5 linked regions of the Canis lupus familiaris genome follow. The protein of the gene in region 1 purifies or fractionates together with the protein of each later gene. This does not show direct contact. Links are inferred from orthologs where the notes say so. Each region holds a gene or a part of one and is shown in the gene's direction. Other genes may lie near its edges. The genes, in order: FOXO1, SKP2, SIRT1, ATG7 and SIRT2.

Region 1 (4,683 bases):
GACTGCTTACTTACCATGTGCCCAAGACACCACTGAACATTTTATAATCTGTATCTCATTTAATCCATAGCATAGCCTTAAGTGGGTCTATTATTTATTTCCTTTACAGATAAGGAAACTTAAGATCTAGGGGCCAAGCAAGTTTCCCAAAGTTAAGTTGATTTTCTTTATGTGTTAGGGATCCTTATGGCACAATTTAGTTATTGAACAGCTGTACTTAGTGACTGAAGTCTAGAGCTCTTTGTAACTATCCCATCCCATCCTGTCCCGTCCCATGTGTCCCCTCGCTCCCCCGTGTCTTTTTAGACAGAGCAGGACCTCTGATGCAGTGACCTTGAGTTAGGTGGTGCATACTACTGGTTATTTTGGGGAGGAGGGGGCAGTGAAGAACACTAGAATTGAAATTTTCCCTTTTTTGGCAGTTCGGTTTTCTAAAATAGGAACTATGATCCCGTTTGCCTTATATTTACCTATGTTTGCCTAATGGTGTTTTTTTGTTTGTTTGTTTGTTTTGTTTTGTTTTTTGTTTTTTGTTTTTTTTTTTTTTGGCCTAATGGGCTTGAAAGGTAGAAAGGAATCTAAGTCTTAGTAGTTTTCAAGCTTTTAATTCTTAAACTAAGAATATATCCTGCTTCACTTCTTTCTTTCCCATAATCACGTGGGCCCAGTAATATAAAACTTCTCACTTTTGTAAATTGCATATGTGCAATCTGAAGAGAATTGGCAGTAGTTTTAGGGGTGATAGAATGGAAAGAATTTTTGATAGCACTTTGTTGTAGAGTGCTATTTGCATAGCATTATTAACTAAGCGAAGATTTTTTTTTTTAATTTTTATTTATTTATTATAGTCACAGAGAGAGAGAGAGAGGCAGAGACACAGGCAGAGGGAGAAGCAGGCTCCATGCACCGGGAGCCCGACGTGGGATTCGATCCCGGGTCTCCAGGATCGCGCCCTGGGCCAAAGGCAGGCGCCAAACCGCTGCGCCACCCAGGGATCCCTAACTAAGCGAAGATTTAAGTGGTTTTAAAACCAGTTCCTATAATTGCTCTATAAAATACAGCCATATAAAAGAATATGTTTATAATAAGAATATGTTTATTTAATTTTGTCCCTTCATTTCATTAAGATACAGATCCTGTTTTTAAGATAAGATACTATTTTTCTTGTACTGGTTTGAGCTCTTTTATAGTGGAGTTCAGAACCTGTATGGGTTGAAATCTGTACCACAAACTTCAAATTTTTTTTGTGTGTGTTTACACACACACACACACACACACACACACTGAATAGTAAGTATTCCAACTGGAGAAGTACTGTGTTTCTAACATGATGTTTTGCTTTACAGAATTCAATTCGTCATAATCTGTCCCTACATAGCAAGTTCATTCGTGTGCAGAATGAAGGAACTGGAAAAAGTTCTTGGTGGATGCTCAATCCAGAGGGAGGCAAGAGTGGAAAATCCCCCCGGAGAAGAGCTGCTTCCATGGACAACAACAGTAAATTTGCTAAGAGCCGGGGCAGAGCTGCTAAGAAAAAAGCATCCCTTCAGTCTGGCCAGGAGGGTGCTGGGGACAGCCCAGGATCTCAGTTTTCTAAGTGGCCTGCGAGTCCAGGCTCTCACAGCAACGATGACTTTGATAACTGGAGTACGTTTCGCCCTCGAACTAGCTCAAATGCTAGTACTATTAGTGGGAGACTTTCTCCCATTATGACCGAACAGGATGATCTTGGAGATGGCGATGTGCATTCTATGGTGTACCCACCGTCTGCTGCAAAGATGGCTTCTACTCTACCTAGCCTGTCTGAGATAAGCAATCCTGAAAATATGGAAAATCTTCTGGATAATCTCAACCTTCTCTCATCACCAACGCCATTAACTGTTTCAACCCAGTCTTCACCTGGCACCATAATGCAACAGACACCATGCTACTCATTTGCACCGCCAAACACCAGTCTGAATTCACCCAGCCCAAACTACCAAAAATATACATATGGTCAGTCCAGCATGAGTCCTTTGCCCCAGATGCCTATGCAAACACTTCAGGACAACAAATCGAGCTTTGGAGGTATGAATCAGTATAACTGTGCACCAGGACTCTTGAAGGAGTTGCTTACTTCTGATTCTCCTCCCCATAATGACATTATGACAGCAGTTGATCCTGGGGTCACCCAGCCCAACAGCCGGGTCCTTGGTCAGAATGTGTTGATGGGCCCTAATTCGGTCATGTCAACTTATGGCAGCCAGGCATCTCATAACAAAATGATGAGCCCCAGCTCCCACACCCACCCTGGACATAGCCAGCCAACATCTGCAGTTAATGGGCGTGCCTTGCCCCACACTGTCAACACCATGCCCCACACCTCGGGTATGAACCGCTTGGCCCCAGTGAAGACAGCTTTACAAGTGCCTCTGTCCCACCCCATGCAGATGAACACCTTGGGAGCCTACTCCTCTGTGAGCAGCTGCAATGGCTATGGAAGGATGGGCCTGCTCCACCAGGAGAAGCTCCCCAGTGACTTGGATGGCATGTTTATTGAGCGCTTGGACTGTGACATGGAGTCCATCATTCGGAACGACCTCATGGATGGAGATACTTTGGATTTTAACTTTGACAATGTGTTGCCCAACCAAAGCTTCCCGCACAGCGTCAAGACAACGACACATAGCTGGGTGTCAGGCTAAGAGTGAGTTAGTGGACAGGTAAGATCACCCCAATATCAAAAGACTTTCTGAAGCCAGAGCTTAAAAGATAGGAACACGGTACCTTGCCACATACCTTACATAGTTGGGACTTTTTTGATGTCAGCTGGCTGTTCCTTACAGAGAAACATCTTTTAGCATACATTCTCTGTCCCTTTTGCAGCAGAATTTTTTTCTTTTTGAGCTTAAGCATAAGGAAACTTCCTCTCTCTGACTGCTTTAAAGATTTTCTTTTGACAGTTAGATGGTAGCTGGTCAATAAATGAATATGTTTGATGTAAATCAAATACTGCAGTTTTTTGTTGTTTTGTTTTTGTTTTCTTTTTTAATTAATTAATTAATTAATTAATTAATTACGATAGTCACACACAGAGAGAGAGAGAGGCAGAGACACAGGCAGAGGGAGAAGCAGGCTCCATGCACCGGGAGCCCGACGTGGGATTCGATCCCGGGTCTCCAGGATCGCGCCCTGGGCCAAAGGCAGGCGCTAAACCGCTGCGCCACCCAGGGATCCCTTTTTTTGTTTTCTTAAGTAGAGTTTTCCCCACTGAATGATTTCAGAGCTGTTTTCAAAAGCCCTAGCACCGTGCCCCTGCCCCCTGTGTCTGTCACTCTAAAATGTTAAATTGAATTGATTTTAATTTGGCTGTATTTTCATTGTGTGTTTTTTCTAGGCTACACTTAAAAGTACTTCAGATTGTCTGACAGCAGGAACTGAGAGAAGCAGTCCAAAGATGTCCTTCACCCCTCCTTTTCGTTTTCTTGATGAAAGAAAGAAAGAAAGAAAGAAAGAAAGAAAGAAAGAAAGAAAGAAAAGAAAGAGAGAGAAAAGTGTTTCTTTTTTCCTTTCGTCAGACTTGGCAGTGAAGACACTTTTCCTGTACAGGAAGTTTGCCCGATGTTTGCAGGTTATGTGCTGCTGTAGATAAGGACTGTGCCATTGGAAATTTCATTACAATGAAGTGCCAAACTCACTACACCATATAATTGCAGAAAAGACATTCGGATCCTGGTGTGCTTTCAAGTTTTTGTACATAAGCAGTAGCTACAGAATTGTATTTGTGTGTATTTTTGTTTTTGTTTTTATTTTTTAAATATCCATTTGGTCCAAGGAAAGTTTATACTCTTCTTGTAATACTGTGATGGTCTCATGTCTTTGATAAGTTAAACTTTGGTTTGTGCTACCTGTGTTCTGCTGAACAGATGAACTACAGAGAACCAACTCTCCTCCATCCTGCGCCTCTGTGGAACAGCTTTGGGCCTGTTCACACAGCCACACAATTCACATGAGAACCAATAGCCTGTTATCAATCTGCTGAATAATGGACTCGTCAAACACCTTTCGGGGAAAAATAGTTTAAATGCCAGCCTTGTACAGGTCTTTTCTATTTTTTTGTTTATTTTGTTATTTGCAAATTTGTACAAACATTTAAATGGTTCTAATTTCCGGATAAATGATTTTTGATGTTATCGTTGGGACTTGAGATCATTTTTGGAATAGATATTGAACTGTAATGTTTTCTTAAAACTAGAGTCTACTTTGTTACATAGTCTGCTTGTAAATTTGTGGAATCCCAGATATTGGAGGCAGCATCCATAATTTTCATTTTGTATTTCTAACTGGATTAGTACTGATTTTATACGTGTTTAACTGGTTTTACACTTTGGGATGCTACTTGGTGTTGTTTCTGACTAATCTTAAAAATCATTGTAATTAGTACTTGCATACTCAACGTTTCTGGCTCTGTTTTGGCAAGAGAGCAATGTATAGTTGTGGACATTTTGCGTTTCATGTTTAGGAGAACGTAATATGTTTTTATGTACGTGTTTGAAAGAAATTCCATCTGCTCCTCTTATCCCGTGATCTGAGTGCACCGCCAGAGCATTGAGTCTTCTGATAAATGTCCGTGTGCTGTGTCATTTCAGTTACTCCTGAGGGGCCTTGTGATGTTTGTGGATCAGAAAAGGAGTCCTGTGTCTA
Region 2 (4,259 bases), on another chromosome or scaffold:
CTTTTATGAACACCAAGCATATTTGTTTTACTTAGGTAGTACTTTTATTTTCTAAATTACCCTCCATCTTTATTCAGCTAACATTTATTAGCCTCTGTGGTGTTTAATACACTTGTTGAATGTAGAATAAATCCATTTAGAGGGTAATGGGGTGACTGGGAGAGCAGACTGAAAACATGGAAAGTCCTAAGGCCAGCTGAACGGTTTGAGTTCCGTAAACAAGAGGACAGCATCAAAGGCTTGGGTGGGTGGAGGGGGTGGGGGGTGACATAATCTTCCTAGGCTTTAGGAAGATGCCTTGAACATAGGTACATAGAATAGGCTGGAAGGAAGAAAAGATTGGAGGCCAGGTTACAGTTACTATGAGGAAAGTTTGGTTTTTTTAGTAATTAATCGGCAATATGAAAATATAAAGGATGCTTCTAACTCTAGGTCATTGATGTGTTCATTGATCTGTAGTGGGATTTTGTTGATATTCCAAACTAAATATTCCCTTTCCTAAGACTTTGTACTGTGTGTCCCAACCTGGAGCAAATACAGATCAGAGAGATGAATTCCTAAGCACATAGATCTGAGCTAAGAAGAAAGAATCATTACCTAAAAGTATTTGCTTTGGGGAAACAGGCTCTCTTTTTTGTGGACCAGAATTTCTCTGTTGACAGAGTTGTATTTCACTTAATGGGAAATAGCTAAGAAGAGGATTGGCATATATGTGACCAAAAAAATAAAAAATATGTAAAGAAGTCAGATGGCTTTTGCCTCTCGTAGAAAAGGTGTGACTAATCAATCCTTTTCTCCATCTGTGCCCAACTACTCCCATCTGCACCCACCTACGCAGCCCTGTCCTAAATACCATAGCAAAGTCGCTGTTAGATGTTATCACAGGTAATGGACCTACTAAGAAGTTACTTTAACTTCTCTTGCTCCTCTTTTGAAAGAGCCTGGTTCAAATAAAGGTCAAGTCCATATTTTGGAATTACATGTAACCTGTGGTGATTCTTTGCCATCACTGGCTCCCAGCTTCTCATGACACTTGAACTCCTTTCAGTTTTAGATCAAGAATAGAAAAAGGATGGGCAGCCCGGGTGGCTCAGCGGTTTAGCGCCGTCTTTGGCCCAGGGCGGATCCTGGAGTCCCGGGATTGAGTCCCACGTCGGGCTCCCTGCATGGAGCCTGTTTCTCCCTCTGTCTGTGTCTCTGCCTCTCCCTCTCCCTATGTCTCTCGTGAATAAATAAATATTAAAAAAAAAAAAAAAAAAGAGAGAGAATAGAAAAAGGAAGCAACTATGGTTGGATTTTAAAGAAATCTCAGCATTTTTAGATTGTGAGAAAACATTTAACAAAATGCGCCTGCGTGGGTCCTGGGGCCATGTTGTCCGAGCACAGAAAGGTCTGTGCTTTCTGGTTTGATTCATCTATTCTATTTTCTCAAATCATTGATTGCAAATTATGTTTTCAGTTTGCATTTTGTAGAATATAAAACAAATGGTAAAAATTGGGTCATGTAACTCTGGTGGATCAGTTACCATAGATACTGCTATTCTGAGAAGTCTCTCTTCCTTTCCAGTGAACTTGGAGAAATCCCCACACTAAAAACACTACAAGTTTTTGGAATCGTGCCAGATGGTACCCTTCAACTGTTAAAAGAAGCCCTTCCTCATCTGCAGATTAATGGTTCCCATTTCACCACCATCGCCAGGCCGACCACCGGCAACAAAAAGAACCAGGAGATATGGGGCATCCGATGCCGGCTGACACTGCAAAAGCCCAGTTGTCTATGAAGTATTTATCACAAGATGGTGTCTCCTCTTTTCTTTGGAACAGGGAAAATAGGCAGGAAGCCTGCTTGCTGGAGCACTCAGCTGTTTTTATTCTTGGTTTTCCCTTTGCCTTCATTCTGCAAGTATGTTAGACAGCCGTTTGAGAGAGAAGACTATGAAGTTTTGCTTTTTCTAAATAACCAGAAAAGCTTCGGTCACTGCTTTTGTACACTTAGGAGCCTAAGTTTAAGGCCTTTGGGAATTTTAGGAGAGCCTGTAATTTCAGGATGCCTTAAGCAGCAAGATTTGAGCCACCTCTTTCAAGTGCCCTTCTTATTAAATCTATTTAGAATCAAGCGTAAGAATCACCACCAGCAAATCGTTCTCACAATCTATATGGTGACTTCTATTTAATTTTTCAGTATTGCTTTATGAGACATAGACTGCTAGAAGTGTTTGTGTTGTGAACGGAACAAAAGGAGAATCATAGGATAGTAGCATTTGTGGCAACCTCTTCTGGAGATAGAAAAATACGCATTTCAGCTTTGCCTGTAGATATGAAATTAGGTTCATGGAAACAAATAGCTCTGGGCAATTCACACTAAATGACAAATGACTGACCAATCAGAGGTGAAGAATTGGTAGAGAATTTGAAAGCTCAAGAGGCAGTTTTCTATGACAGGTCAATCTGAAGTATCTTCTCATGCACATCAGTGAAGTTTCCATAATGTCATGTGCTCGCAGAATTCCGAATTAGCTGAGGAAATATAATTGTGGTCTTCTAACTTTGTGATCAAATGACGTTAACATGGGTTCTTTCGCTTTTAAAATGGCTCGCTTTGTTTCAGACAGATGCTAGTAGCTGGTCAGTCTTTATTCTTGAAATGTTGGATGGAATGCCAAACTGAAGTTCCCTGCCATTTTTCCTTTATTGTCCAAGTTCTTGAAGTTATTTTTATATTACTCTGGAATCAAGTATTTTCAATTGCCTTTTTAAAAAAAATGTCCCCCACAATAATTGAAAGTCATTATTTTCTAAAGTTACCGGACATGGAGTTGCCCAAGAAGAACTACATGTTCATTCACTCAGAAATACACATTAGAAGTAGGTGTGAGTTCCATGCAGTTTCTAAGCAGTGAGACAACTTGAAATGACATCAAGGTTAAGACTCAGGTGTGGAATCTTTTGATAACAACAGTGCTTTTATTTTTTTTTTTTAATAATGTCTAGAAGAAAAAGGATTAAATTCTACTTTAAAACAAAACACTAATTTTTTAATTTAAATTGATCTTCCCATATGTTCAAAATGAACAAAAAAGCTAAAACCTGTTATTTCTATTAATTGTTTTTAAATCAGATTCTTCAAATGTCAGAAACAACGATTTGAAGTGCCCTTATCTGCCCAGACCTAAGGAGGAACATTTTAAAGTGGTCTTATGCAGGAAATAATTATGTTTTGATTTTGTACTGATTAAAAAGTGCTACATATACTACATGAAATTATTGTTTACAGATTAGTGACAAGGGCTGATGATAGTACCCAATTGGGCTGTGATTTCCAGATGCCCTCAAATGTACAGTACTTCCAAACTCAAGTCCAGCCATAAGCTATTTTGCTAACATGTCAGAGTGATCTGTATTTTTGTATGTGATTTCTACTTTTATACACCTGTTTTAAAATAAAACAATTTTTATAAAAATGAGTACTTCCGCTGAGTTGTATTCTTTTGTTCTTTCCCTCTCTCTCTCTCTTTTTTTTTTTTTTTCCCTAAGTACTGTGGTTAAAATTAGCATTTCGTCTGGGGTGTCTTTGGTCCCAGCCCTCTGGTTATGGCTACAAAAGGACCCCAACAATGGTCCCCTTTGTTCCATCCACATCATATGCTTTTTGTCAAATTAAAATGATAGTGTGAATGCTTTCTGAGAAGGTACTAAGTACAGGTTTATTCTTTAAAGTGCTTCTAAAATAGTAACATTTATAAAACATTTGAAATTCAAGTGATTAATATACTAAAGTACTAATAAAAGGCAGCTAGTAGGACTTTTTAAATATAGACGGGACCAGCTCATACTATATATCTTACTCTCATTAATCTGTCCCCTATTTCCATAGGTTCAGCAGCAAAAAGCCCTAGACTGAAGGTAATATTGCCATGGTAGTGAGATCAAGTCCTAGGATGGGCTCCATGTTCAGTGTGGAGTCTGCTTGTGACTCTTTCTCCCTCCTCTCTGCCCTTCCCTGCTGCATTTTCTCTCTCTCTAATAAATAAATCTTTTTTAAAAAGAGGAATAGAATTAGTTCCGACCCATGCCTTACTGAGTATTCCTATAAAATATTCAAATTAAAATATTCTTTCCTAATTTTCTCTTTAGTTCCTCTTTATTTTGTCAGTAATTTTCTTAAAAATGTATCTTCAGGTCCATGACACTTAAAAACAAATACTCATGTTTTCCTTAACGTAGAAAACTTAATAAGCCTTCTTGTTGACTTATGCCCT
Region 3 (4,683 bases), on another chromosome or scaffold:
CCCACGGCGTGCTCCTGGAGTCCTGGGACCAAGTCCCACGTTGGGCTCCCTGCATGAAGCCTACTTCTCCCTTTGCCTATGTCTCTGTGTGTCTCATGAATAAATAAAATCTTAAAAAATTCTTAGACATAACAATCTTGTACAACTTAAAACATTTCTATCCCATTCCATTTACAATATATGGTATAAACTGACATTTTATGTCAATATATTACTACTTGTTCTAATTATTTGTTTATTTGAATAAGCCATTGTGCCTTTTCCATACCAGGCAGGCTGTTTTAAGTTCTGGATATACAGTGATCAGTCTGTTAATGTTTGTGTATAATTATAAAAATAGCTGATTAAACAAAATAGATCTTAAGAACTATAGATGCTACTTGGAGGGGATTATATAATATAGAAGGTTTTCCAAAACCTAACTTATGACTTTGGTCTTGAACAGTAAGTAAGGAGTTAAAATAGGGGACATCTTCCCAGGAGAAACTAGGCAAAGCATAATTCCACCCTCCTCCCCTGTATTCTCTCTCTCTCTCTAAAATAAATTTTTAGAAAAATGGGAATAGGGCACCTGGGTGGCTCATTGGTTGAGGTCTGCCTTTGGCTCAGGTTGTGATCCCAGGGTCCTGGGATAGAGTCCCGTATCAGGTTCCCCACAGGAAGCCTGCTTTTTCCCGGTCTCTGCCTCTCTCTGTGTGTCTCTCATGAATAAATTTAAATCTTAAAAAGAGAATAAAATAGCATACACTTCAGCATTGTGAGAATTTAAAAAGGTAACATGTAGAGTGTAAAATTCCAGCTGTTAGAAACGAATTACCACAGTAGTCCTTAAATTTTTTACTGTGATTTTTCTGTTGGTAAGATCAAGGCTGAAAAGAAAGTGGGAGCGTATATGAGGCAAACTTTAATAAATCTGTCTTGATGGTTCCCAAGAAGAGGCAGAACCAAACAGAGATTCAAGGGCTGAGAAATAATGTTCATCAAAGGGGCTAACGCAGAATGAAAATAATATTTTAGGGCAACTGGGTGACTCATGGTTGAGCATCTGTATGCTTTTGGCTCAGGTTGTAATCCTGCTGTCCTGGGATCGAGTCCCACGGGGAGCCTGCTTCTCCCTCTGTCTGTATGTCTCTGCCTCACTCTTTGTCTCTCTCGTGAATAAATAAAATCTTAAGCATTTTTTAGAAGCATGGGCCGGGATCCCTGGGTGGCGCAGCGGTTTCGCGCCTGCCTTTGGCCCAGGGCGCGATCCTGGACACCCGGGATCGAATCCCACGTCGGGCTCCCGGTGCATGGGGCCTGCTTCTCCCTCTACCTATGTCTGCCTCTCTCTCTCTCTCTCTCTGTGTGACTATCATAAATAAATAAAAATTAAAAAAAAAAAAACTTAAAAAAAATTGAAGCATGGGCCAAAAACTATAGAAAAGTGGACACAGCCATGTGCAAGGACCCCTTAAAAGAATGTTAAGAAATTCCAGATAGGTTTTTCTGTTAGCAGCTAGAATACAGGTACTCTTATCCAATCATGGAAATTAATATTAAATAGCTAAGAAAACTGAAGAGTACTGTGTATTCTTTGAAAATAGAAGGAAACGTGGTTTTCACACTGTAATTTGTGATGTAGTGGAATGTGAAATCAATTTTGCGGATTCATATCAGGATTTTTATACACCCATATTAGGTTGTTGTAAAGTGAGAACCTGGGTCATGATCTTACAAAGTTTGAAAGCCATTTTAAAGAGAAACCTAGGTATATCTTCAGATAAGATCTACTTCAGATCAATTATTAGCAGCCAGGCTTTTGTGAATCCTTCTGGCATATGGTACAATAAATATGACATTTATTATAAGAAACAGAGGAGTTAGAAGTTACTCTTTCTTATGAATTCAAAGGTAGAAAACATTTCACCATTAATATATTTATTTTTAAAAGATTTTATTTATTCATGAAACACACACACAGAGGCAGAGAGACACAGGCAGAGGGAGAAGCAGGCTCCATGCAGGGAGCCTGATGCAGGACTCAATCTGGGTCTCCAGGATCACGCCCTGGGCTGAAGGTGGCGCTAAACCGCTGAGCCACTGGGCTGCCCTCACCATTAATATTTAAAGTTCCTACTAACAGGTGCTGTTAACCTGGACCCATAGCTTAGGGGAGAGAGAATTGTCCTTACCAACAAAGGTCACATCTTAAACTGTGAATGCAAATTTGAGAGGGAATTGGGGTTTAACATCCAATGCTAGATCAGTGTTTCTCATACTTGAATATGTCTAGGATTCAGATTCAGTAGGTGGGTGGTGGGGTTTGAGAGTCTAACTTTTCCTGTGATGCCATTGCTGCAAACTACACGTTTAAATAGGTGGTGAAGCCATTATGGAATCAAACCTTTTATTTATTTATTTATTTTTTTATGATAGTCACAGAGAGAGAGAGAGAGAGAGAGGCGCAGAGACACAGGCAGAGGGAGAAGCAGGCTCCATGCACCGGGAGCCCGACGTGGGATTCGATCCCGGGCCTCCAGGATCGCGCCCTGGGCCAAAGGCAGGCGCCAAACCGCTGCGCCACCCAGGGATCCCGGAATCAAACCTTTTAATTCTAGGTTCATAAAGTTAAATAAAAATAATGAAGGTGTCTTGAAGATAGAATACGGGCGTTAGAGAAGTTCTATTCAGTGAACATGAATTGAGTAATGTAGGCCGGCCTTGATATTTTAGGTCATGAGATCTGTTCAGAGGATTTGATTAAGTAACCCTTCATTGAACATAGTTCTTTACTTTTCCAGATGAGGAAATTGAGGCATAGAGCTTAATTCCCCAAATTTATAAAGCTGGTTGGTGGCAGAACTAAGATTTGCAGCTAGGAGTGAGCACTTAGCAGCTTGTTTTTGAAGAACGCTACAGTAATAAGCCCCCTTGTAATGATGCTCAGGTTTAAAAGGCAGAGCTGGAACCTATAATCAGACTGTCTTAAAAAACTGGGAGTAACTTACCATTTCACTTTCATTACTGTATTTCAGGTAACCAGTATCTCTTTTTACCACCAAATCGTTACATTTTCCATGGCGCTGAGGTATATTCAGACTCTGAAGATGACGTCTTATCCTCTAGTTCTTGTGGCAGTAACAGTGATAGTGGAACCTGCCAGAGTCCAAGTTTAGAAGAACACTTGGAGGATGAAAGTGAGATTGAAGAATTTTACAATGGTTTGGAAGATGAAGCTGATGTCAATGAGAGAGCTGGAGGAACTGGATTTGGAATTGATGGAGGTGATCAAGAGGCAGTCAATGAAGCTATATCCATGAAACAGGAAGCAACAGATACTAACTATCCATCAAACAAATCATAATGTAGTAATTGTCCAGGTACAGGAATTGTTCCACCAGCATTAGGAATTTCAGCATGTCAAAATGAATGTTTACTTGTGAATTCAACAGAGCAAGGAAACCAGAAAGGTGTAATATTTATAGACTGGTAAATTAGATTGTTTTTTCATGGATAATTTTTAACTTCTTATTTCTGTACTTGTACACTCAACACTAACTTTTTTTAAAAGAAGGGTACTAAGTATCTTTAATCACATGTTGGTCAAGACTTTTCTTTTAAAGGTTCATTTGTATGATACATCCATATGTATATATAATTTTGTTCTTGCCTAGTGAATTTCAACATTTTAAAGTTTTCAAAAAGCCATTGGAATGTTAAATTAATGTAAAGGGAACAGCTTATCTAGACCAAAGAATGGTATTTTCACACTTTTCTTTGTAACATTGAATGGTTTGAACTCCTTAAATGTCTGTTCTGCTAAACTTTTGATTCTTTATTAGCACACAATTACCTATTTTTAAACACTGGCATTTTCCAAAACTTGTGGCAGCTAACTTTTTAAAAATTTCATGACATGCAGTATGTATAGAGGGAAGTCAACAATATGTGGGAGAGCACTTAGTTGTCCTTGCTTTTTAAAGTAAGACTTGGTGCTAAGAGTTTCAGGAATACTGTATTGTTGAAGATGGCTTTTGTACTTCCTGTGGACATGTAGTAATGTCTATATTGGCTCCTAAAACTAAGCTGAAAAAAAATAAATGCTTTGGAAATGTTTCAATTGCTTTAGAAACAATAGTCCCTGCCTGGGTACCCTTAGTTTCAAGAATATTTGCCCTTGTTTAAATACCTATCACTGTGGTAGAGCTTGCATTGCTTCTTTCCCACAAGTATTAAACTGCCCATATGTGAATATGCAAAGCCTTTATGAATCTATAATAATGGTACTTCATCTGGGGAGAGTGTAATATTTTGGACCGCTGCTTTTCTTTTCCCTTAATGAGGAGAGCAACAGGCCACTGATTACGGTTCCAAAGTACTGAGATGTTAATTATAACTCAGCCAGTAAGTACATGTCTCCTGTTGGGAGGATTTGTGTAATAGACATCAAACTGCTAGCCTGGTATTATGAAGATGAACATGGTAATAACTTTTAATAGAATAGTTAATAAATGAAACTAGTTCCTATAACATCTTTATTTAAAAGCTTAGCCTGCCTTAAAACTAGAGATCAAACTTTGTCAACTGCAGAAGCTTCTTAGCCTTTCAAAAAAAAGTTCATACTTTATAAAATTGCACAGAGCAATTTTCCACACCTTCCCCCACATTACTCCCACATTATAAAGTATTCTTCCTAATGTT
Region 4 (4,683 bases), on another chromosome or scaffold:
TTAATTTGTTTCTTTTATTAGTGAGAGTATATCTTTAATTTTATTTCCTTTGTGAATATTATTTATTTTATTCATCTAAATTTTAAAATATATTGACACAAAATACATATAATACTCTCTTAGCATCTTTTAAAACTCTGTCTTTTAAAAAATCTTTCCTCACTCCCAAGGTTGCATGTTTACGTTTTCTCCTTTTTCCTATTATTCAGACTTTCCAGAGAGGATTGTCTGTCTTATCAGTCTTTTTGGAGGACTCAGTCCTTGATTTATTTATTAGTTTTATAGTTTTTGTTTTTGTTTTGTTTTGTTTTGCTTTCAGATTCATTAATATCTGTTTTTATCTTCATTAATATCTTCCTCTTTTTGTGAAATTTATTTTGTGTTCTTTTTCTGGCTTCCAGAATTAGGTGTTTAGGTTTTCTTAGCATTATTGAGAATTATAAAGTCATTGGAAATCTACCATAGAAAATTTGTAAAGTGTAAAAGTTATAAAGCAGAAAAAGAAGACACCCATTTTCTTACCACTTTTTCACTTATTTCCTTTAATGTTTGTTAAATATATATTTAAAAATCTTATTTGATTTATATAATGCCCTTCACTTTTATTTATTAACATTGTAAACACTTTCTCATGTAATTAAAAATAATGCCTGTAAAGCGTTTTTAATGTCTATAGAATATGCTTTTTTTAAAAAAAATTATTTATTTATTCATGAGAGACACAGAGAGAGAGAGAGAGAGAGAGAGAGAGGCAGAGACATAGGCAGAGGGAGAAGCAGGCTCCATGCAGAGAGCCTAATACGGAACTTGATCCAGGGACTCCAGGATCACGCCCTGGGCTGAAGGCAGGTGCTACACCACTGAGCCACTCAGGGATCCCCTAGAATATGCTTTCTTATATGATGAAATGTAATGTTCTAAGATACTCCTCTTATGGTAAGCATTAACATTGTTTCCAGTATTTTACAACTGCAAATTATGTTGTGGAACATTTTTGTTAATATTTCAAATTGCTTCCTAGGGTAGATTGCTGGAAGTATTTACTGAGGTTAGATTGCTGCAAATAGGCCAAAAGATATGAACATTTGAAAGATTCTAGAAACATATTGCCAAATTGCTTTCCAGAAAAATTATATCAGTTTATATTCTCATCCAGTACAATAGCTTTTCATCACCACATCCTCACCAGCATTGACTATTACAGTTTTCTTTAATCTTAGCTATTTAAACTGTGTTAGCATTCCAGGAAGCCAAAAGTTGAGTGTGAATGCCCCCCTGGATGTGGCTAACCCATGGCCTGTTTGTAATTTACTTGGCTTTCTTTCCTTTGCCCAGCATCTTCCTAGACTGCCTTCCACTCAGCATTGCTTTAAGGGATGTAAAAATACTTCAGAAATAAATGTGTCGGGGATCCTTGGGTGGCTCAGTGGTTTAGTGCCACCTTCAGCCCAGGGTGTGATCCTGGAGACCCAGGATGGAGTCCCCCATCAGGCTCCCTGCATGGAGCCTCTTCACCCTCTGCCTGTGTCTCTGCCTCTCCCTCTCTCCCTCTCTCTCTCTCTCTCTCTCTGTGTGTGTGTGTGTGTCTTTCATGAATAAATAAAGAAAATCTTAAAAAAAGAAAAAAGAAATAAATGTGTCCAAATCAAGCACAAGTGACTTTTGGATTTTCTGTGTCTTTTTTTTTTTTTTTTAAGATTTTCTTTATTTATTCATGAGAGACACAGAGAGAGAGGGATTTTCCGTATCTTTATTCTGCCTCCACGGTAGATTGCTTTGCTGGTAAAAGTCACTTATAAAACCGGATGAGTATGGGCAGCCCCGGTGGCTCAGCGGTTTAGCGCCACCTTCAACCGAGGGTGTGATCCTGGAGATCCCACGTCAGGCTCCCTGCATGGAGCCTGTCCTGCCTGTGTCTCTGCCTTCATCTCTCTCTCTGTATCTCATTAATAAATAAATAAAAAAAAAAAACAAAAAAAAAAAAACAAAAACTGGATGAGTAGACCAAGTTTACCAGTGGGCTTTCAACACAGATAACTGTGCTTTTGAAAAGATAGATTCTGGCCTGTCCTCAACCCTGAAAATGAACCTTGGATTCTTGTTGACCATCCCCTTGGAAACATCAGTTTAACTGAGTTTCTGAGTCTCTGCTGGAAGGATATTGAAATAAGAGAGAGCAGAATCAGCTTTGTAGCCAAAATCTTCTATGACATTATACAATGGGAAATAACTCAGAAGTCATTTTTCTGAGGAGTTAATTCAGGATTTAAGTGAGTTTTAAGTGAGCTGTTATTTATACTTAATTATTCATTAAGGGAAAGCAAGGACATTTGGGGGCTCATTGCTAATCCTTTTAAGACAACAGCTTAGACAATTCCTATGGGACTTACCTCCAAATTTTTCTCTGGTGTTACTGTCAAAAATAATGAGTTATTAGTCAGACCCACTCTGACATTTCTTAGTCTCATTACTGCAGGAAACCAGGCACCGGGTATATAATTATTTTGTCTTTTAAAGGAAGTTGACCCTCCGTTGATCAAAAACTGAATTTGCACAATCCTTTTTCTGAAGTTTCCTGTATTTTGAAGTTCCTAAGCTACTCCAAAGCAAAACCTCTTTTAGGGATTTCAAGAGAGACACCCTGTGACATGTTTGTCAGAAACACACCATGATCTCTTGTTTCCATGCAGGGTTGGGGTGTCAGACACATCACATTTGTGGACAACGCCAATATCTCCTACTCCAATCCTGTGAGGCAGCCTCTCTATGAATTTGAAGATTGCCTAGCAGGTGGTAAACCCAAGGCCCTGGCTGCAGCAGACCGGCTTCAGAAAATATTCCCTGGAGTGGTACGTTGATGTTGTTTGGGAACGTCAGAGCTTGTCTCCTGTAGTTTCCTACTGATTAATCTTGGGCAATGAAGGTCCTGTGGTATTGGTAAAAGAGAGTCAGACATTTGTCACTTACTACCCAGGCCTTCATTATATGGCCAGGCCTCTGTTTCCTCATCTCAGAGATGGGCATCAAAAAACAAAACTCATATATTGTGAAAATAAAATGAAGAATGTATGAAAAAAATGCTTTTGTAAGTTGCAAAGCATTATCGGAGTCTCATTTGAAGAATTTAGAAGTATGATATTTTTATATACTGCCTTATCCCAAAGGGATTCTTGGTAGCTCAGGTATAGGATTTTATTTCTCCTTCATTACCAGAATACTTGATAGTTACTTAGTGCAGTTTTATGAAATTAAATTGAATACAAGTCTGCACAGAATGAAGATCTGGCTAAATATTTAGCTTTTTACTCAAGCTGCTGGTTGTTTTTGAGTTGCATTATTTACTTTAAAAAAACCAAATAATAAGAGACAAGCCATTCAGCTCATTCAATTCAAAATCTCACCAGTTTTTTTCATAGGTCATCCACAAAAGGAAATGTGCATCTTGCATACTTAATCAGTTTATATGACAGAAGTTAGGTTAGATGTCTCCAAAGCATCTGCTAATACTTAAAGTGCCACAAGAGGCTCTCAGCCTTACCAACAACAACAAAAAAATTTTTGAAAAAAGACCACTTTCTCAAGGTTTTTCTGTTTAATTACTCAGTATTAGATTCATTCATTTTAATTTTTGCTTTAAAAGAAGCAACTTGATGGTTTTGTCCATTTCATCATTGATCCAGAAGAACATCATTTATTGGGTTTAATTCAACACCATTATTTAAGCACCCACTGTGTCCCCAGCTAGGTGCTGGAGGCCAAAAGAAATAAGAGTGCTAGAACCCTATCATATTAATTAAGTTGCTGCTACATTATTGCATATCGCACAGTCCTAACATGAGAGTGCCTTATTATTATAAGCATTTATCTCATACTCACAGGTCTGCAGAGTGGCTATAGCTGGACTCCAGTCTTTAAGTCAGGTTCCAGTCTGTGCTATGTGTTATAGTTTTAAAATCTAGGCTTGAGGAGCAGCAGTCATTTGGGTCATGCTCTTCTTACAATAGAAGGTGGAAATGAAAAAGGATTGGTGAAAACGTATCATACCTCTAAAAGTCTCAGTTCACTGGTGACACAATGCAGCATTCTCCATCCCCATGCCAAAGCTGGTCACAGGGCCAAACCCAAAGTCCAGGGGTATACTTTGCCTTCCTAGTGGGAGGTCCTGCAAAGTCATGTGGCTAAGAGTGAAAACATTAGTGAGAGGCAGTGCATGGTTGGGAAGAATAATCCAACCTATCACTGGAGAGTCTTATGAGCTCCCCTCAGGGCCCAGAGAGACCTGACTTTGAATCTCACCTCTGCTACTTAACTAGTTGCCTGAAATTTTTCCTTGTCCAGATAGTCTATGATCCAGTGCAGTCCTCCCTATTTATCTGTTCAGTTATTCTTTTACTTATTCATTAAATACTTAAGGTTTTCTGTGTGCTAGGAATTGGGTAACAAAACAGATAAAGTTCCCTCTTCTCTGCATGGAGTTTCTGTAGTCCAGAGGGGGACATGGTCAAAAACTAATTTCAGGGATGCCTGGGTGGCTCAGCAGTTGGGCACCTGCCTTTGGCTCAGGTCATGATACCAGGATCCGGGATTGAGTCCCGCATCAGGCTCCCTACGAGGAGTCTGCTTCTCCCTCTACCTGTGTCTCTGCCTCTCTCTCTCTCAGTCTGTGTCTCTCATGAATTAATA
Region 5 (4,683 bases), on another chromosome or scaffold:
GGGTTGTGGGGTAGAGACCCGCATCAGGCTCCACACTCAGCAGAGAGTCTGCTTAAGAGTCTCTCTCTCTGTCAGCCTCCCCTCTTTGTGCTCATTTTCTCTCTCTCTCTCTCAAATAAATAAATAAATAAATAAATAAATAAATAAATAAATAAATAAATAAATCTATCTTTTAAAAAAATGATACCTTAGAACCCAAAATTATAAAAGACAGGGAATCCTTGGATATAAATGGGCGTTCTAATATTTTCTTCCTGCACCTGGCAATTTGGAGCCTGCCAGCCTGGGAAGCTGCCACCAGGGGGAGGATGAATTTGTTTTAAGTCCCAGATTTCTCAAACCGGAACAGGAGCTCCTGCCCAGGGCTTGCAGTGGTGGTGGCCTGGGAAGGGACAGCCTCTCCTTCCAGGAGGACCCCCACTCAGGATAAACCTGACCGTTCTTCCCAGAGTCCATTTTATCCCCATGGCTCAGACATGGTACAAACAGCTCACTCCAAGCCGAGGGCCCCCTGTGCGCGATTTCATGACATCAGCCCCACAGCCCTGTGTTGTCATCTTCCGTCATGAGTGTTTACTGAGCACAAACCCCATGCCAGGCCCTGCTGGCAGCAACATCCCTGCCCTCCTAGAGCTGATAGTCTAATGAGGGGAGAGAGACAATGGACAAGACAATGGTAGCACGTCCAGTGTGCCACGATGTCTGTGGAGCACCATTAAGCGAGAAAGGGGAACTGGAAGTGCTGGGGGTGGGGGGGTTGGTGCCATTGTCAACAGGTATCAGAGAAGGCCTCACCAAGAAGGGGACATTTAGGAAGGGAAGGAGGGAAGGAGGGTGACATGGGATCATCTGGCCGGGAGAGTGTGTTCCAAGCAAAGGGAACAGCCAGGGCAAAGGCCCTGAGGTGAGACTATGTGGTGTGTTCGAGAAGCTGGATCCGGGTGAGCAGAGAGGAGAGCAGGAGAGAATGAAGGAGGCGAGCTCAAGGAGGGGGACAGGGGCTGACCTTGTGGGATCCTGGGGCCAAAGGAAGGGCTGAGTGAGATAGAGCAGGAGGGCTCTACATGGGGTGGGACGGGGTGACCTGAAGCCAGGCATCCCTCTCTGGCTGCAAGTAGGGGGCTGATGGGGAGGGCGGGGTGAGGAAGGGGGTCCTCCGATGTCCAAGTAGAAGAGGCTGGAGGCAGGGGCCAATGAGGGGAGAAGTGTGCGGGTCACGAATCTGCTTCAAAGGTGAAGCCATGTGAGGCCAAAGCCTCCGCCCCAGCACAGAAGCACACCCACGGCGAGCTACCTTCTCATGAAATCCAGCATCGGTGCACTCTGGGGGCCGTGGGAAAGGTGCAGGCGTCTGTCCCCTCCCGGCAATAATTAATGCATGCATTTAGCTACACATACGTCATCAAAACGTATGTTTTGAGGCCTATTACAGAAAACAGAGGCAAAAGTGGAAAAAAAGTTCCACTCTCATGTTTCAAGAAACCATTTTGTTGTTTTGTTTTGTTTTGTTTTGTTTTGTTTTCAAACTTGTCACCCTCTCCATCAACCTCAGCCACTTTTTGAGTCACTGACCCAGTTTTCTGGAACACACTGTCTTCACTTCTTTCCGAATTGTGATGATGTGGCACTTCTGAAGCTATGTACGATAGCTATTTTTATCTCCAGATACAAGTCTCCATTCAAACATGAGAACAGTTGCCCTGTTCGTTCAAGCCCTGTGATCTCCACAGCAAAGCAGCTTATCGTCCTTTTAAATATCTGCATGGCCTTTACCCGCCACATAGGGCTTTCTCTCACTTAACTTCCTGTGTGGAAGACCCTTCCATATCCACACCCACATAGCAGCTTCCTGCTTGCTCTTTTCTTTTCTTTCTTTCTTCCTTTTTTAGAATTTTTTTAAAAGATTTTATTCATTTATTAATGAGAGACACACAAAGAGAGAGGCAGAGTCACAGACAGAGGGAGAAGCAGGCTCCATGCAGGGAGCCCAATGGGGGCCTGGGGACCCGGGATCGAGTCCCCAGGATCCCACCCCAGGCCAAAGGCGGCGTTAAACCGCTGAGCCACCTGGGCTGCCCAGGATTTTATTTTTAAGTAATCTCTCCACCCAATGTGGGACTTGAACTCACAACTCCAAGATCCAAGAATCGCACAGTGAACCAGCCAGGCGCCCCCGACTTCATGCTTTTTCAAAGCTGCCATTGCCTTCGTGTCCATCAGGGGGACACAGTGTTTTAAAACAAAAAAGGGAGCCAAGGTTTAAAAAACGAGATTTCAGATGAAAATCCAGACTTCAGGCTCCTCTTGCAGATTGAGAAGAGCTGGCTACGCCCCACCCTGCCCCGCCCGGGGTCCTCCAGAGTCGGGGAGCGCTGCGCTGGAGCTGGGGGGGCCACTGCCCACTGTCACCATGCCCTGCTTCGTGCCACACACCCCAGCCACATGTCACTTGCCGTTTACCATCATGTGCTCATGACTCTTTGTCCTTTAGGAGGGGGCTTCCTGGGGCCATACCCCCCAGCCGCCAGCCTCTCTCCCCTAGCTGGCTTCTCATATCACAGGGGCGCCTGGGTGGCTCTGTCTGTTAAGCGCCTGCCTTTAGTTCAGGTCATGGTCCCAGGGTCCTCGGATTGAGTCCCACATGGGGCTCCCTACTCAGTGGGGAACCTGCTACTCCCTCTGCCTGCTGCTCCCCCTGCTTGTGCACACTCTCTCTCTTTCTCTGTCTCTCTTTCTCTTTCTCTCAAATAAATAAATAAAATCTTTCCAAAAAATATTCTATACGTAGGGAAACAAGTACACACGTTCATATATAGTTTTCCCACAGCCCTTGTTCTCCTGAGCCTTTTAACCTCTTGGAGGGATCATTTCAACATCAGGACACACAGGTCAGCCTCGTTCTTTTCCAATTTGTGGTTTCTTTATCAAAAGTGGCCTCAGACTAACAGAGGCATCTGAGTAGTTCTTGTACATGCTATATAATTATTTGCACGCACACTGCTTACTCATGTGTGAGGGAGTCAGTAGACTGAGTCAAGTCACAAAGGCAAAACTAAAGCAGGGGGAGGAGGCAGGGGGAGAGCTGCAGGGAGTGTGGGAACAGTGGCTCTTGTCTGCCCGTTGGGGGAACAAGCTGATCGCTGGCAGGGAGCAGAGAGAGCAGTGGGGGCCGTCTGCCCTTGAAAGACAACCCTTTCGGTTGTTCACGGAGTCTCGGGGAAACCGTGCCGGGGTAGCTGGGGGCTACATGTGACCGGCCATCTCTGGGTGGCATGTGCCCATGTGCCCCGTCAGCACCTGCCCCTGCAGCATTCCTCACGGGCCAGCAAAAGCTGCTCCCGAGGGGCTGCGTGCTTTAAGAAAAATGAGAGCGCTCATATGCCTATATGGAAGAGAAGAACAGCCTGGCTGGTTGAAGGAGGGATATACCTGCGTCTGAAAAGAATGCGATGACTGTGCCATCTCTGAAACAGACCGTAGTAAGAAACCCTACTGCTAATTAGGAAAACAGTGATTAAAACCAAATAAACCCTCCCGATTCACTTATTTCTGTTAATGCTTGGCCAGGCCTGCCATATCCAGCTGCGCGGGTTGGCTACTGCACAAGGACGCCACACCTGAGGGGGCTCTATCTACAGCAGAGACATTGTAGGGCTTGTTCGTGAAGGCCAACAAATTTCTGGCAGGTGGCACTAACGTCGTGTGGTCCTAACAAAACAAATTTTCTGAAAAAATGGAAACAAAGTGGCCCGATAATGCGGAAAACCTCCATATGGGCTGATGGTGGCCGTGGGCCTGGGCTCACAGATGTATGAGCGTGGGCCCCGCCGTTAAGCATCTGTGACTTTTACGCTTCGGTGGCACCATGAGATGAGCGGAGGGCTTTACGGGCACACCGTGCCCCTCGTTTCTCCTTCGCTTCCTTCTCCCTCCGTCCCATTTGCTTCTCTTCACAGCGCCCTGCTCCTGCCCCTGAGGGGCCGGCTCGCTGCTGAGCCTTTCCCCCCACCTCTCCCCGCAGAACATAGACACCCTGGAGCGGGTGGCCGGGCTGGAGCCTGAGGACCTGGTGGAGGCCCACGGCACCTTCTACACCTCGCACTGTATCAGCCCCCTGTGCCGACGGGAGTACCCGCTCAGCTGGATGAAAGGTGAGGCCCCGGAGGTCATCCACGAGGGCGGGCCTCCTGCCTCCCGTCGGCTCCCCAGCGCCAAGATCAGGGGCTCCACGCTGTGGGCTCCAGCGGTGTCCTTGCTCTGTGGCCCCCCGAGATCTGAGGCAGCAGCGGGGTCTGCAGCGGGCTCCCAGCACCACCTCACAGCCGGGTTATTAGGGGAGCAAGGTCCAGACCCAATTCAGCCGTACACAGAGATGTGTGTTGGCAGAGAGGTCGCCGGACCGCCATGCAGTCTGTTCTGTGGGGTCTGAGGCCCCGGCCCTTTGTCCTTTGAGGGGCTCTGATCTTACCTTACAAGAGGGGCCCACGGAGGGAGACACAACTGCACTCTAATCCGTACCTGCTCAGTATGGCAGCCGCTGCCACATGTGGCTCTGGAGCGCTCACAGATGTCACTACCGTGACCAGTGGACTGAATGTTTCATTTTCCGTCATTTTTATTAATTAAAAAGTTAAAAGCCACATGTAGCTACGTGCACCATACTGGACAGGACGGGGCTGGAGG

The links.
Region 2: the proteins of FOXO1 (region 1) and SKP2 purify together in Homo sapiens (affinity purification with western blotting; 4 studies listed by BioGRID). This does not show direct contact. The link is inferred for Canis lupus familiaris from reciprocal best matches to the Homo sapiens genes FOXO1 and SKP2.
Region 3: the proteins of FOXO1 (region 1) and SIRT1 purify together in Homo sapiens (affinity purification with western blotting; 5 studies listed by BioGRID and IntAct, with this or other methods). This does not show direct contact. The link is inferred for Canis lupus familiaris from reciprocal best matches to the Homo sapiens genes FOXO1 and SIRT1.
Region 4: the proteins of FOXO1 (region 1) and ATG7 purify together in Homo sapiens (affinity purification with western blotting; 4 studies listed by BioGRID). This does not show direct contact. The link is inferred for Canis lupus familiaris from reciprocal best matches to the Homo sapiens genes FOXO1 and ATG7.
Region 5: the proteins of FOXO1 (region 1) and SIRT2 purify together in Homo sapiens (affinity purification with western blotting; 3 studies listed by BioGRID). This does not show direct contact. The link is inferred for Canis lupus familiaris from reciprocal best matches to the Homo sapiens genes FOXO1 and SIRT2.

Annotation. Positions count from the first base shown.
Region 1 is NC_049246.1:760,251-764,933, forward strand, and holds part of FOXO1 (forkhead box protein O1), read left to right. Parts: intron 1-1,346; coding exon 1,347-2,684; 3' UTR 2,685-2,702; intron 2,703-3,376; 3' UTR 3,377-4,683. UniProt on the Homo sapiens protein: Transcription factor that is the main target of insulin signaling and regulates metabolic homeostasis in response to oxidative stress.
Region 2 is NC_049225.1:73,262,279-73,266,537, reverse strand, and holds the end of SKP2 (S-phase kinase-associated protein 2), read left to right. Parts: intron 1-1,567; coding exon 1,568-1,781; 3' UTR 1,782-3,464; downstream 3,465-4,259. UniProt on the Homo sapiens protein: Substrate recognition component of a SCF (SKP1-CUL1-F-box protein) E3 ubiquitin-protein ligase complex which mediates the ubiquitination and subsequent proteasomal degradation of target proteins involved in cell cycle progression, signal transduction and transcription.
Region 3 is NC_049225.1:19,928,662-19,933,344, forward strand, and holds part of SIRT1 (NAD-dependent protein deacetylase sirtuin-1), read left to right. Parts: intron 1-3,017; coding exon 3,018-3,346; 3' UTR 3,347-3,362; exon of another isoform or gene 3,363-4,683. UniProt on the Homo sapiens protein: NAD-dependent protein deacetylase that links transcriptional regulation directly to intracellular energetics and participates in the coordination of several separated cellular functions such as cell cycle, response to DNA damage, metabolism, apoptosis and autophagy.
Region 4 is NC_049241.1:7,175,461-7,180,143, reverse strand, and holds part of ATG7 (ubiquitin-like modifier-activating enzyme ATG7), read left to right. Parts: intron 1-2,690; coding exon 2,691-2,849; intron 2,850-4,683. UniProt on the Homo sapiens protein: E1-like activating enzyme involved in the 2 ubiquitin-like systems required for cytoplasm to vacuole transport (Cvt) and autophagy.
Region 5 is NC_049222.1:115,012,922-115,017,604, forward strand, and holds part of SIRT2 (NAD-dependent protein deacetylase sirtuin-2), read left to right. Parts: intron 1-2,682; exon of another isoform or gene 2,683-4,021; coding exon 4,022-4,151; exon of another isoform or gene 4,152-4,683. UniProt on the Homo sapiens protein: NAD-dependent protein deacetylase, which deacetylates internal lysines on histone and alpha-tubulin as well as many other proteins such as key transcription factors.